2 linked regions of the Stegostoma tigrinum genome follow. The protein of the gene in region 2 purifies or fractionates together with the protein of the main gene of each other region. This does not show direct contact. Links are inferred from orthologs where the notes say so. Each region holds a gene or a part of one and is shown on either strand. Other genes may lie near its edges.

Region 1 (7,814 bases), on a different chromosome or scaffold from region 2:
TCAGTGCCTAGCACTGCTGTCTCACAGCACCAGGGACCCAGGTTCGATTAGCCTTGGGCGACTGTCTGTTTGGAGTCTCCCCACGTCTGCGTGGGTTTCTTCTGGGTGTTCTGGTTTCCTCCCACAGTCCAAAGATGTGCAGTTTAGGTGGACTGGCTATGATAAATTGCCCATAGTTTCTAGAGTGGGAAATGCACAGATAGGGTAGATAAGTCTGGGTTAGATGCTCTTTGGAGGGTCAGTGTGGGCTGATGGGGCTACTTCCACACGGTAGATATTCTATGATTTAAAACTAAAGTGATCAGGTAACTGGACATTGGCAAATGGACATATAAGTAAGTCTATTAAAATACAACTACTTCAAATATAATTTTATATTGGAAAGATAAAATGTTCAACAGGTTGTAGGAACAAAATTAATGGTGTGAAACACATTCTATTATAAATCTGTCACAAAATTCTAATGGACTGGAAAGGTCATGAGATGATCAGATTTTTAATATTAAGCAGATCTTTGTAAAGTGACTAGAGAATAAATATATTGGGGATGTTACCATTAAAACTGTCAATTTGAAATATTTAATATAGAGAACAGTTGAATTTTTGAAAAGAAGCTCCATAGAACATTCAACAATCACACATTTACATAGCTTTCAAAACAAAAGCTTGGTTGTTCAATCTTTTCACATGATAGGCCATGTTTCATTTTTCCTCAGGCAAGGTGCCTATGTACAGATCGCTAAAGATCACGTTTGGCGTAACCTCAAATATGAATTTCCAGGAAACAGTCAATAAATTTATCAGTTTTTTAAAAAAATGAATAAAAATGACCACCAAAAGTAACAAGCAGCACAGCGTTTAAACGCTAAAATGTATTTTGCCTTTTCAATGCAGGCGAACCAGAGGCAGGATAGGCCCTAGTCCTGATTACCAGGTAAGCAGCTGGAGACTGGGGCTGAGCTAGGGAGTTGAATTTAATTATCATTGATCTTGTATTTGCCTCTGGAGGCAAACACTCTGAACTGACCTGGAAGAGTTCTCTCTCTCTCCTGGCCTGCTTTCCAGATAGGTTCTGAGGGAGGGAGGAAGGACGGGAAAAACCGTGTGCATCTCCAACTCACTTCCAGTTTCAGGGTTTACACGCACACCTACAGTCACTCTCAGCAGGCTCACTCATTCTTAGTGACATATGTACTTTTTACCACTGATAAGGCATTTAGGAAGGCTGAAAGGTGACACGACATGTTTCCTCAGTACTGTCAGAAACTTCAACTCAACCTCTGGCCTCTGGTTCCTCTTGGCCTCCAAACCCTTTTCACTAAACTGAGCCCTGTATTGCTTTATGGCCAGCAATTATGTGGGAAGGAAATGGCTATAAAAGCAAAATAAGTGACTTAGCTTCATGGTGCTCATTGCTCTGCCAATCACAGATTGTTTCTCTCCTATATTTCTTCTGATAAATTCACTGAATGCCAGCAAGGGACGGCATGCAATTGGAAGATCAGTTCCTTGCAGATCTGTCACTTCCACTTACCCATATTTTCAACATTTAGACAAATGGTTCATAGCACATTTGTCTGTAGACAGAACAGCCTGTTAGTGGAACAGAGACACTGAAGGGATATTTGAACAGATATATAGAATTTATGAGGAGCCTAGGCAGTGTGGATAAGGGGGAACTTTTGTCTGTCAGCAGAGAGGGGTCAATAATCAGGAAGCACAGATTCAAAGTAGTTGACAGAAAGATGAGAGAGAAGTTGTTGGGAAATGTTTACATCCAAAAGATGATGAGGATCTACATGCACCTGTAAAAGTAGGAGAAGTGAAACTTCTGCATTTTGAAAGAAACCCTGGATATGCACTTGAAGTGCTGTAACAAATGCTGGAAACTGGAGAGAGAGAGATAATGGGAACTGCAGATGCTGGAGAATCCAAGATAATAAAATGTGAGGCTGGATGAACACAGCAGGCCAAGCAGCATCTCAGGAGCACAAAAGCTGACGTTTCGGGCCTAGACCCTGGAATTAGACACTTTCTTTTACTGGCACTGACTAGCTAGGCTGCAGGGCTCCTTCATTGTTGTAAATCTGTGCCGTTATTGTACAATACCTGCGTCATTATTTCATCTCTTGTGGTGAAATGCGGTGCATCTTCTACATGAACTCCATCTGCCATATCCAAAACCTTTTCCATAAGCTGATCACTATAACTAAAATACATATTATAGAAAATTACATTCAGCAAATCTCGGTGAATAATTTCGGGGGAGGGGAAAGGAGGAAGAAGAGAGAAGATTGCATTCTACTCAACCCGCAACGCTGGGCCGTAATTTTACAAATATTTTTGAAAATACAATCAGACCTTGCAGCATGCGTGACACGATGGCTTTTTCGAAGCCTGAGTGGGGTAAGAAAGTCCTGTCCCTGACAGAGATATGACAACGTTATATGTTCCCACTGAATCTCTGTCTCAGTGATCCCAAGGGCGAGGGGAACTGGATTGTCTCCCAACCCCTGTGGCTGGGGTAGTGCTGGAAAAGAGGCCGTTATTCCAGGCCTATAACCGGTCTCGTTGCGTAGCCAAGCACCTGACCCATCTAGGGAGCAGCAGCCTCGCTGCTCAGAGATATCTGAAGAGAACCGCACATCCACCCGGGGTGCCCCACGGTCTAGAAGGGGCTCAGAAGCTGAGCGAAGCCCCGGCATTCCCCACCCCAACTTACCGGCAACCCATGAAGACATGGTTGGCCCAGACCATGGATAGGGCGACCAAGTAATCCAGGCGATCCCGCGGGTAATCGGACAAGTTCCGGACCAGAAAGCTCCTCCGCGCCGTCCAGTGTTTGTCGCTTTCGGATAGGCCCCGGAGCCGCTCCAAACTGCAATCCGCCATCTCCCGGTTCCTCTTCAGAAAATCGTCCAAAGCCGACTCCTCCATCTTACTGAAAGGGCACCGGGAACGACTCCCAGCAGGCACCGCGAGCGGGCCTCCGGGCGGTGGGGGCGGGGCCGCGGCTAGGGTGGGAGGGTGGGGAAGTGGAGGGGCGCAGCCGCAGTGGCGACGATGATTGGGGGGCGGGGAAAGGACAGTGCGTGTCCGCGGGGGGTATGGGGCGGGGCCACGGGGTATGGGCGGGGCAGGAGCGGGATGAGAGTCGGCTCACCCACTTGGTGTCCGTGTTGGAGCAGAGGAGGATGGCCAGCGTCCATGGACTTATTTATTGAGTCTGATCTGCTGTGTTGCTCCAGCTCCACACTGTATTGACTCCATAGTTCTTGCTATCTCCAATTTACTAATTTAAAAATACCTTCATCTGAGGTAGCAGTGCTTCGAAAGCTTGTGATTTCAAATAAAGCTGTTGGATTATAACCTGATGTCCTGTGACTTGTGATTTTGGCCAACCTAGTCCAACCCCAGCATGTCCACATTATTAAAAATACCTGACCGATCACCAACCAGGCTAATAATTTGCTTTCGATTAAGAGTTCTTTTAAACTATCAGGCTCTTAAATGGAAACTTTCTTTCTGAAAGTTTATTTACAAGGCTATATCCATAGAAACGTTTACCTGTCTACCATTTCATCTGCTAAAGAAGTGAATTTCTGGCCAGAGGGGTAGGGGACATTTGCCAGAACAGTTCTGGAAGTGAGTAGTTTTAGCCAGCAGTTTGGATTGGAGAAATAGAGTTTTATCCTTTAGAAAATGAAGGAAGATTTGAAGAGGATGCGAAGGGTAACCTTTTCTGTGTGTGGAATAAACTGCCAGAGGAAGTGTTAGATGCAGGTACAGCTACAACATTTAAAAGTTGTTTGGACAGGGACAGGACCAAGAAAGGTTTAGAGGGATATGGGCCAAACACACACATGTGGGACTAGTTTTGTTTTGGAAAATTGGTTGGCATGGACAAGTTACACCAAAGGGTCTTTTTCTTCTGACTCTGAAAGGTTGAAGTGTGATTTAATAGAAGTGTCCAAGATTGTGAATTAGATAAAGTCGATAAAGGAAAACTGTTCCCATCAGCTGATGGTACACTGACCGGGGGCAGTCACCGACCTCTAGCGTCACAAGAGCCTGAAGGAGGTTGCTTACAATTGAAATATCTAATTTTGAGTGTTGTTAATTCTTAAGTGGTTTGAGAGAAGTGTAAGAGGAGAAGTGTAAAGAAGAGCAAATCGTAATGACCTGAAACTTGCTGTCTAATATGCTGGAAGCAGGGTAGATGAATAGCTTCAAAAGAAAATTGCATTGGCTCTGGTGTATTCAAATTACAGGCCTTTGAAGATTCAGTGATGAAATGGGACTGTGGACAATCTACAGATAGCAGCACAGACCCAATGTGTTGAATGGCCTTATAACATAACAACTCAAAGGTTAAAATTTTATGTTGTTGATGGCACTCTTGCACACTGGCTAGGGTAATTCAGTTAGATCTATTGGGGAAGGCCTGCTGGAATTATGTGTTCGTCAAGCACTTAACTGTCCAGCATTTGGTCTTTCCAAGATTTAGGACTCAGAGGGTAGAAATCTCACTCCTTGAAATCTGTTTACCAATTAGAGGCTGGCAGCTACCCATTACCCATCAGCATGTCGTGGTTGTTGCCAGTAATGCAGCCAGCAAAAGGTTGGATTGAAGAAGGAACCGTGCCACGAGGGGAGGTGCAGGCTGTGTGGGAAGCAGCAGTGTCTCAGACGATGATGCTACATTCTTTGATTAGGCACTGATTATGTTTTGAGGGAACACCACCACCCTACTGTAGCTGACAAACAAACCTGACAGAGCTTGTTTTTCCGTCTATCTACTGTTATAAAGCAGAGGTCCACCCCTCTCTGATAACTAACATCAAAACACCAGAAAGGTTTGCCTCGCCCTATAATCTGTTAAAAGAAGTGTGAAAAGTAGTATAACTTGCCTCTCACCCCCAATCTGTTATAAAGGAGTGGTTACCTGAAATAAACTCCTGACTCTCACTCTATAACCAACAACTAACAATTTATTTATCTAACTCTAACAGCGAACAAAACAACTGAACTATTGACAAACCAAACAACTCCCGTCTAACTGCCAACTATTTCCAAATGAAACAAGATTCTAGTGGTATGCTGTTCCAATAAATACAAGACCAAGTTATACAAAACAAAGTAAAGAAAAATTAGAGATAGTAGGAACTGCCGATGCTGGAGAATCTGAGATAACACGGTGTGAAGCTGGATGAACACACCAAGCCAAGACGCACCAGAGGAGCACAAAAGCTTAATGTTTCGGGTCGGGTTCTCAACCATTTTTTTTGGTTAACCTAGAACCATTGTGTGGAATATTGGCAAAATATTGATGGCCTTACTCATTGTATGTTTGGAAGGGAATAATTATTTGGGTAGAGGGTGTTGCTGCTATCCCAATCCCAACCCAAAAGAAAAATTAGAATTTAGATTCTCAAAATTACTCTGGTTACGTCTTCCAGAATGTTCTGTGTCTTCTCTGATGAATTATTTCGTTAGGAATACTTCCTCGGTGAATCCTTCTGTCAGGAATGCCTTCTCTGTCGAATTCTTTTGTCATGAAGATTAACTGTTTGTGCTGTAGGTACCTATAATTTAGATGGATCTTACTCTAAGGTTTAGAGAATTCTGTGAGAGCCAGCGATTCTTCCTTTTGTAGCTGAGAGCTGTTCCCTTAGCAGATAACAGTTTGCTCTCTCCTGGTTGTCCAAATGCTCTAATCTTTTATAGCCTTGGTGACATTTCAATTTCACGCAATAGGATTGATCCTATGTTGTCAAATCTATCAGATTTAAATTTTCTGAAGAAAGGTCCCAACCCAAAAAGCCAACTTTCCTGCTCCTCTGATGCTACCTTGCTTGCTGTGTTCCTCCAGTTCCACACTGTGGTATCTAAGATTCCAGCATCTGCAATTGTTACTATCTCAGATTTGAATTTTATTGGTTTTTGGCATCGAAGGGCCTGGTTACATTAATTGACTAAATTCGACCCTGCTGTCTTGGTGAAAATGCTGCTTTGCCCGCTACCAGTTCAGCCTTTTGATACAAATGTTTTAATTCAGGTTCTCTGTGTACCTGCAAACCCACAAACATCCATTTTGAATCTCTATGCATAGAAAAAGCACCTCGTTTTTTAAAGAGACCATGCAATGCTTTCCACCCCTAGCATTTTACAAGCATCAATTTTTTGCAAACACCAAATTCCAATGTCCTGCCTCTACAAACACATTTACACTACCCAACTTTGCAACTCTACTTACCATGTTAAATACTAATAGTGGTACAATGATGCCCTTTGGTGGCACTAATTGCCCTTGTAAGGACCTTAATTGTTTTTACAGGAAGGTTTCAACAAGACTTCATGCACTGGACTTAATCAGGTAAAGGTGGGATAGCAGTGTGGACCCTACTCAACACCTTCCCACCAAACTTATTCCCTTCCCAACATACAATGATTAAGGCCATCAATATTTTGCCCATATTCCACACAATGGCTCTAGGTTAATTAAATTATTCAATTCATATTGTCTCTGTCTATGAAGCTCAAATTTCTCTAAATCTTCAGCCAAGGGGTCTTTAGTTATACATCCCAAATACTTCTTAGAACAGATGTTGGACTAATAAGTCTACAATATCCTGGTTTTCATTACAATGTTTCTTGCAAGTTTTTTTTTCACATTCCCCTTTGGTTCTTAAACCATTTTTTTTGTCTTTCTTTACATTTTCTAATCAACCTGCTCAATGGTATTATTGTGACCACTAGATCAGGTGAGACTTGAGTCTGGGTATCCTGGGTTAGTGGTAGGTACAACACCACTATACTATAAAAGCCCTTATAACTACATTGCAAACCAGTGGTCCAAGCAGCTGAGTTAAAGGCACAGTAGCCCTATACTATACTTTTTAGCTCTTGCAGTTCATTAGATTTGCAGTATTCTTTGCACTTTACTCATTTTATGTTATCTCTCTATAGTGTCTGCTTAGGATATGTATTGTTGTTCTACAAATTAAACTGTTTGCAAACCCCACACCCCCCACCCCCAACCATTGTTCATTTGCAGCTTTGTATGATAACAATTTTAACTAGCTTCAGCTGATGAATCTATCTTGTCCTGTTAAAGTTAGCCTGATCAAAACCTAAAATCTTAGTAACTATATCAAATTTCTCTTATTAAAACCTAACATTGTATTTGACCGGATATGCTTAAGAAACTCATTGTCTTTCTCAGTGAAGTTACTCCGCTTTTTTCAAACTAAATGAAAAGTGAACCGTTCCATTACAACAACTTTGCTTTTTCTACAGATTTCTTTATTCTCTGAATTAATAAATGCCGCAATTCAATTTTTGCCATCAGGATGGCTGTACACATCTACAATTACAGTTTTAATTCCTCTCTTATTCTACAATCAGATGTTTCTGATTGCTGTTATCTTGAGCCATGTGGTAGATTTTCTGCCATCATCGTATTTCCCAGCAGGGAGTCATTGTCTGATTGGCCTTCTTTCATAGAGGAAAACCACTTGGTAGTTAAATGAGAAGCGGCTCTTGTTATAAACAAGATGTATTGTATTGTACGATAGCAAGTTACACCGATGTCTAAGAACTGCTTCTTCCCCACAGTTATCAGACTTATGAATTAACTCTCGTATGTTAGAATTGATCTTTCTCTGTGCATTCTCTTTAGCCGTAACACTACATTCTGCATTCTGTTCTATTACCCTGATGCACTTATGTAAGGTATGCCTTATCTGGTTAGCACGCAAAGCAATACTTTTCATTGTATCTCGGTAGACATGACAATAATAAATAAAATCAAA
Region 2 (7,878 bases):
GAGTCGGTGGGCTTGAAATGGACGTCAGTTACAAACTGGTTGCCTGAGATGGAGACTGAGAGGTCCAGGAAGGTGAGGGATGTGCTGGAGATGGCCCAGGTGAACTGAAGGTTGGGGTGGAAGGTGTTGGTGAAGTGGATGAACTGTTCGAGCTCCTCTGGGGAGCAAGAGGCGGCGCCGATTGTCAATGTAACGGAGCAAGAGGTGGGTTTTGGGGCCAGTGTAGGTGCGGAAGAGGGATTGTTCCATGTAACCTACAAAGAGGCAGGCTTAGCTTGGGCCAATGCGGGTGCCCATGGCCACCCCCTTTGTCTGTAGGAAGTGGGAGGAACTGAAAGAGAAGTTGTTGAGGGTGAGAACGAGTTCAGCTAGGCGGATGAGGGTGTCGGAGGAGGGGGACTGCTCGGGCCTGCGGGACAGGAAGAAGCGGAGGGCCTTGAGGCCATCTGCATGTGGAATACAGGTGTATAAGGACTGGACGTCCATGGTGAAAATGAGGTGTTGGGGGCCAGGGAATTGGAAGTTCCGGAGGAGATGGAGGGCGTGGGTGGTGTCACGGACGTAGGTAGGGAGTTCCTGGACCAAAGGGGAAAAAATGGAGTCCAGATAGGTGGAGATGAGTTCGGTGGGGCAGGAACAGGCTGAGACAATGGGTCGACCAGGGCAGGCAGGTTTGTGGATTTTGGGAAGGAGATAGAAACGGGCCGTGCGGGGTTGGGGAATAATGAGGTGGGAGGCTGTGGGTGGGAGGTCCCCTGAGGTGATGATGTCATGAATGGTGTTGGAGATGATGGTTTGGTGCTCGGGTGTGGGGTCATGATCAAGGGGGCGGTAGGTGGTGGTGTCGGAGAGTTGGCGTTTGGCCTCAGCGATGTAGAGGTCAGTGTGCCATACTACCACTGCACCACCCTTGACTGCAGGTTTGATGGTGAGGTTGGGGTTGGAGTGGAGGGAGCGGAGGGCTGCCCGTTCTGCAGGGGAGAGGTTGGAGTGGGTGAGAGGGGTGGACGGGTCGAGGCGGTTAATGTCTCGACAGCAGTCCTCCTCTTGGACACCACCCGCAGGCCTCCTACCCTCCCTCGACCTCTTCATCTCCAACTGCCGCCGAGACATCAGCCGCCTCAAACTCTCCACCCCTCTCACCCACTCCAACCTCTCCCCTGCAGAACGGGCAGCCCTCCGCTGCTTGGCCTGCTGTGTTCATCCAGCTTCACACTTTATTATCCTTTGTGAATGTGTTCAGTTTCTACAACTGTCGATGAAAGCTTAATTCATAAGCTTTAATTAAATTTAAATTCTATCAACTGTTGGATACAACATGATGTCAACAAATCATTAGTTAGCCTCGGCCTCTGGAATACAAGTCCAGATCTTACAATCAGAGAAAAAGGTCCCACGTTCCAATTAAGCAGCCCTGTACTTCCTAAACTGAACACCAAGTTCCACAACTTCAGATCATACTCTGTCAATATTATTTTTCACTAACAATTGATGATTCTTCTATTCCTATCTACAGTCCTGCTAGACGTAGCTTTTCATTCATGTATCCCCTTATCGTCTCATCCCACCTTCGTCATTCCTCTTATCATTAAATCTCACCTGATTTTGACTCAGTCACAGAACTCCCCTTTTGTTCTTTTCCTGATCCCTTTTCCACTTTTCCGTCCTTGTTCAAAACCTACTCAACTTCCCCTTTGATAATGGGAACTGCAGATGCTGGAGAATCCAAAATAACAAAGTGTGGAGCTGGATGAACACAGCAGGCCAAGCAGCATCTCAGGAGCACAAAAGCTGACGTTTCGGGCCCAGACCTTTCATCAGGGAGGGTCTGATGAAGGGTCTAGGCCCGAAACATTAGCTTTTGTGCTCCTGAGATGCTGCTTGGCCTGCTGTGTTCATCCAGCTCCACACTTTGTTATCTCAATTTCCCCTTTGACTGGCTACCTGTTAACTGCTTTTCTACACCTCCTTGTAGACAGGCTGCTGTCAGCATTTGCACTTCAAACTACCAGCAGCCTACGAGCCCTTTTGCTTCTGCCGCAAACAAAATACAAGGACCGTAAGATATAGGAGCAGAATCAGGCCTTTCAGCGCATTGAGTCTGCTCTGCAATTCGATTGTGGCTGATGAGTTTCTCAATTCCATTCTGCTGCCTTCTCCCCATAATCCTTGATCCCCTAATGAAGAATCTCACCCTTACCAAAGTTTTTTTACGTAAGTAGAGGTATTGCTAGCAGAAAGAGTTACGCCAGTCTGCTACAGAGAGGATCACAATACTTGGAAAATTTCGGAGTAATCCTGGACTCTCAAACTCTACCTTTACAGACAGTTTAAAAACAATGGGTCAGAAACGATTTACCAACGTTGATGCGTGCCAATATGAAGATTTGAATTTGTAAAAGTCACCAACTGAGCACCACGGGAGAGAGAAAAGACACTGGCTTTCGCATTCTCACTTGACTCAATCGCTTTCACGGGGAGGGGAAAACACAAACCTTACTTTTGAGGTTTTCACATTTACCCTCTCCCTCTGTACACTTGGGGGAATCGGGGGGGGGGCAAGAGCGACGGACAGGAACAGTGGGAAGGAAGGGAGGATTTGAGGGTAAGCAGCGGGTTGGCTTCAGGCCTAGTCTCTCATATATATACACACACACACACACACACACACACACACGGCCCAGCGCGCAGCCTCGGCCATCACGCACCTTCTCCTCCGTGCAGTTCACCACGATGGACGGATATTTGCGGCTCAGCCAGCGAAAGAAGGCCGGAACTCCCATCCTAGTACTTTGGATCGGTTAGCTAGGTGGGTGGGCACAATTACTGTTGCTTCTCCCGAATGTTTTTTTTCCTTCTCCGTCCGTCTGTGTCTCTCTCTCTCTCTCTCTCTCTCTCCCGGGTCCGGCAGCGTTGGGTGGGGGAAGGGGAGAGAGCGAAGGGGCCGCCTCTCGCGCGGCTGGGCGAAATCCGGGCACCGCGCACGCGCCAAGGCCTCCGGGTCGTCTCGCGCCCACTTCCAACCAATGGGAGGGCAAGCGCCCCACACGACCCCACCCCACTAACACACCCGCCCCTGGTAACCCGCGTAGTCACTTCCTGATGGCGTCACCGGGAGGTCAGAGGTTATTCCGACCGGAAGTCACCGTCCCCATGCGCTTCCTCCCCACCCCCACTTTGAAAGGACCACTGACAAGAGTAAGTTCTGCTTTTTCGGTCTCTGCAGAGTCTGCCAGACGTGCTGGATTTCTCCAACAATCCCGTTCCTCCCACCCTCCTGCAAAAATTCCATTCCCAATTCCTCCGCCTCCGCCACCAAGACAAGACACTCCACTCCCGCACATCCCAGATGTCCAAGTTCTTTAAGGACCGCAACTTTCCCCCCACAGTGATCGAGAACGCCCTTGACCGCGTCTCCCGTATTTCCCGCAACACATCCCTCACACCCCGCCCCCGCCACAACCGCCCAAAGAGGATCCCCCTCGTTCTCACACACCACCCCACCAACCTCAGGATACAACGCATCATCCTCCGACACTTCCGCCATTTACAATCCGACCTCACCACCCAAGACATTTTTCCATCCCCTCCCCTGTCTGCTTTCCGGAGAGACCACTCTCTCCGTGACTCCCTTGTTCGCTCCACACTGCCCTCCAACCCCACCACACCCGGCACCTTCCCCTGCAACCGCAGGAAATGCTACACTTGCCCCCACACCTCCTCCCTCACCCCCATCCCAGGCCCCAAGATGACTTTCCATATTAAGCAGAGGTTCACCTGCACATCTGCCAATGTGGTATACTGCATCCACTGTACCCGGTGTGGCATCCTCTACATTGGGGAAACCAAGCGGAGGCTTGGGAATCGCTTTGCAGAACACCTCCGCTCGGTTCGCAATAAACAACTGCACCTCCCAGTCGCAAACCATTTCCACTACCCCTGCCATTCTCTTGATGACATGTCCATCATGAGCCTCCTGCAGTGCCACAATGATGCCACCCGAAAGTTGCAGGAACAGCAACTCATATTCCGCTTGGGAACCCTGCAGCCCAATGGTATCAATGTGGACTTCACCAGCTTCAAAGTCTCCCCTTCCCCCACCGCATCCCAAAACCAGCCCAATTTGACCCCTCCCCCCACTGCACCACACAACCAGCTCAGCTCTTCCCCTCCACCAACTGCATCCCAAAACCAGTCCAGCCTGTCTCTGCCTCCCTGACCTGTTCTTCCTCTCACCCATCCCTTCCTCCCACCCCAAGCCGCACCTCCATCTCCTACCTACTAACCTCATCCCACCTCCTTGACCTGTCCGTCTTCCCTGGACTGACCTATCCCCCTCCCTACCTCCCCACCTATACGCCCCTCTCCACCTATCTTCTTTTCTCTCCATCTTCGGTCCGCCTCCCCCTCTCTCCCTATTTATTCCAGAACCCTCACCCCATCCCCCTCTCTGAAGAAGTGTCTAGGCCCGAAACGTCAGCTTTTGTGCTCCTGAGGTGCTGCTGGGCCTGCTGTGTTCATCCAGCCTCACATTTTATTATCTCCGTTCCAACATCTGCAGTTCTTTCTCTCGTTTAAGGCTGGCAGGTTACCACAGTCGTGAAAAATGTCCCGCGGGTAGTTCTTGGCAACAATTGTTTTGCTTCTCGTTTACAACTTTCTTCGTTGGCGGGGCAGCTGCACCAATACATAGCAAATGTGATTAACGTCTTCATGAATCTAGAAGTGAGAACATCTTATTATGACAAGCAGGAATGCGTACGAAATTGCCACATGGCCATACAGATGCAAGAGTTGGAATAGAAGCAATACGATGGAAAATAAAGGCAAAGGATATGCAGTTTCTGAGATGTAAGATAAAAATGAGTTAGAAAACGCGTACAAATAATGATTAAATTCTGTGGAAGGCAGGCACACCCGAAAACCTTCGTGGCTGGTTCAAGAAATGGCTAGTGTTTTGGGCGTGTACATACCAGAGATAAACTCAACCCAATATTCATGCCACACAACTGCCAGGCAACGATCTCCTCAAACAAGAGAGAATCTAACTCACCAACTATCCAATCCGTGACATTGAATGGCATTCTCATTGTAGGTGTAGTGTAGGGGGGTGGTCTTAGATTAGTTCACAGATTGTTGCAACGTCAAGGGCCAAAGGACAGTTCTGTGCCGTATTGTGATATGTTGTATGACTCCTTAGGCAGCACCTTCCAACTCACAGTCAGTAACATCTAGAAGAACAAACGCAGAAGATGCATGACAACATGACCACCTGCAAGTTCCCTTCCATGTCAGACACCATCCTGAATTGGAAATACAAACCTTCACTGTTGCTTGGTCAAAATCCTTGAATTCCCTCCAGCACCGAAATCCCAAGAACAGCAATGCTTTCAGAAGGTGGATCACCACCATCTTCTGAAGGGCAGTGAGGGATAAGACAATAAGATGTAGGAGCAGAAGTAGGCCATTCAGCCCATTGAATCTGTTATGCCATTCGGTGAGATTATGGCTGATTTGATAATCCTTAATTCCACTTTCCTGCCTTTTCTCAATAACCCTTAATTCCCTTACTAATTAAAAATCTGTCACTGTCAGCCTTTGATACATTTAATGACCCAGCTTTCACAGCACTCTTGTGGTAAAGAAATCCACAGATTCAGAAACCTCTGAGAAAGGACAATTTCCTCTTCATCTCTGTTTTAAACGTGCAACCCTTTAACTGGGCCCTCAAGGCGGGTAACTTGTTGCAGGATTCCTAACCTGTGACCTCCTTTTGTAGCCTCTGTATCTATATGAGTAGTCCAGTTCAGTTTCTGGCCAATGGTAGCCCCTCAGGATGTTGACAATGGGGCTTTCTGAGAAACGTTCAACTCTCAAAGCCTACCAGTTATGCATCAGAGTAAATTTCCTTTCTCCTGTCAAGAAATGTCAGTGTTTCCACAGCTGGGTTAGATCACCCAGTCAAATCAGTCTGAGACAATTTGCCAAGAAACCCACAGTCATTTGGTTTAGAGGGATGGGGGCCAAATACTGACAGATGGGACTGGATCAGTTTAGGATATCTGGCCGGCATGCTCGAGTTGGACTCAGAGGTCTGTTTCAATGCTGTGTGACTTGTAGATAATCCCTGTGACTTTCAGATTTCATTCAGTCAAATCTCTAAATCAAAACAGAATTTTTTTTATTTTAGTTCCTTTTTCTTTTCTAATCCAATTTTGGAATGAACCTTTGTTTCACTGTGGCAACATACATCACCAAGAAGATGTCGATTTTTAAACACAACCTTTGAACTGTCAGGTTTAGGTTCTGACTTCAGATCCCCATTCTCTTTCATGATTCTGGTCTTTTAATTGTCCACGTCAGGAGCAATCTGTGAAGCAGCCAATTTCTCAATCAGCTGCATACATGGAAGATTATAGTTCTCTTTTACTGCTTTAAAAACCCCAGTGAAGTCTTGTGAGGTAAAAAATGGGAAATATGTTTCACAACCCTGTCTTTATATATGAAGCACATATCTGGCAAGGTAAATTCCTTTTAAGCTACAAAGAGCATAAATGTTTTCTGTTACTCGACTCATCCATAAGCAAGGTTCTTTCCATAATTACTTTTTAGGAGTGAATATCTCCGTTCTCAGCAGTCTGATATGTTGTAAAAAAAGTGTTAGGGAGGTTACCTGACTGGACGAACAAACTTGCCCAAGAGAGGAAGTCACATTAGTTGATGTCAACAAACCTAGTTAAGCCAGCAAAGTTGCCTGAATTCATAACGGGGCTCACTTCAAAAGGCCATCTTTTGTGGCTGCGTCCTTGTCCCATCAAGTCATTGATGAACAGTTATTAGGTGTCTACAGTCTCCTGGTTGTGATGAAAGGTTGGTGACCTGGTGGTACATGAGCTGCTGAGATTTATACCTCTTATGTTTAAATAGTGAATGCAGGCAGATGTGCGAGAGGTAGTATGTTCATGGTGCTGTTTTATCACTGATGAGATAAGGAGTGCACTTTCAACTGTGAATATAATCTTCTAAACAGGTAATTGGGTAAGGGGCCTGCATTTACAACTGGGACCTTTCTGTACTCTGTGTAGATCTGGTTGAGGCATTGAGGCACAGTCATGATAGGGGAAGGTCAGTTATTCTTGATTCAGTAAGGTGTTTTTCCAGCTGCCTGTGATTCTCAACTCTATGGAAGTTGAAACTGAGGAGAGATGAGTCTGCATCTGGTGAACATTCTCAACATATATGGACCCTCTAGCCATAAATATCCTCAGGGACAGTCACCCAAAGGTCATCCAGAAAACAAAATCCCTCCACCCAGCTGTGGATCTCAGGACTTTACGTAGATATAGTGGGAGGGTAAGGATGAAAGCCCCTCAATGAGGCCATATAGATAGCACCAGAGACCTTCACATCTGTTCATGTATATATGCATTTCCCATCTTCATGTTTGCTTAACTGTCAATTTAGCTGTAAGACCTGGTTAAGTGGCTACCACGTCAGAGTTGAACAGCCTCTTCATATATCCCAAGGATGATAGGAGTTGTACTGTTTGAAGCAGTGCTTATTTCTGAAAGCATCCAAGATGGCAACAGATGTCAGGGTTCCTTCGGCCTCTACTTTCATGAACGCCAAGGTTTTATAGTGTGAATGCATTATAATAGGGCCTGGCCTGTATTTATGTTCCATGCTTAATACCAAAGTTTATTTTTCACTGTGTGATCATTCATAAATGCGAGCACCTCCATATGAAAAGGCTAATTTTACCAAACAGTTTTACAAGAGAGTGTAACATTATTCAAGGTTGGATGATATCCAGTGCTCTATTTATTTCCAAACTCTGCCTCATGAGACATTTCTCGGGTGGGAAAAGATGCTAAATAC

What was found. The genes of interacting proteins can lie anywhere in the genome.
Region 1: the proteins of xrn2 (region 2) and cdkn2aipnl purify together in Homo sapiens (co-immunoprecipitation; 6 studies listed by BioGRID and IntAct, with this or other methods). This does not show direct contact. The link is inferred for Stegostoma tigrinum from reciprocal best matches to the Homo sapiens genes XRN2 and CDKN2AIPNL.

What each region holds. Positions count from the first base shown.
Region 1 is NC_081366.1:30,321,836-30,329,649, forward strand, and holds the start of cdkn2aipnl (CDKN2AIP N-terminal-like protein), read right to left. Parts: upstream 3,018-7,814; 5' UTR 2,938-3,017; coding exon 2,723-2,937; intron 2,210-2,722; coding exon 2,110-2,209; intron 1-2,109.
Region 2 is NC_081362.1:13,334,434-13,342,311, forward strand, and holds the start of xrn2 (5'-3' exoribonuclease 2), read right to left. Parts: upstream 3,020-7,878; 5' UTR 2,784-3,019; coding exon 2,709-2,783; intron 1-2,708. UniProt on the Homo sapiens protein: Possesses 5'->3' exoribonuclease activity. May promote the termination of transcription by RNA polymerase II.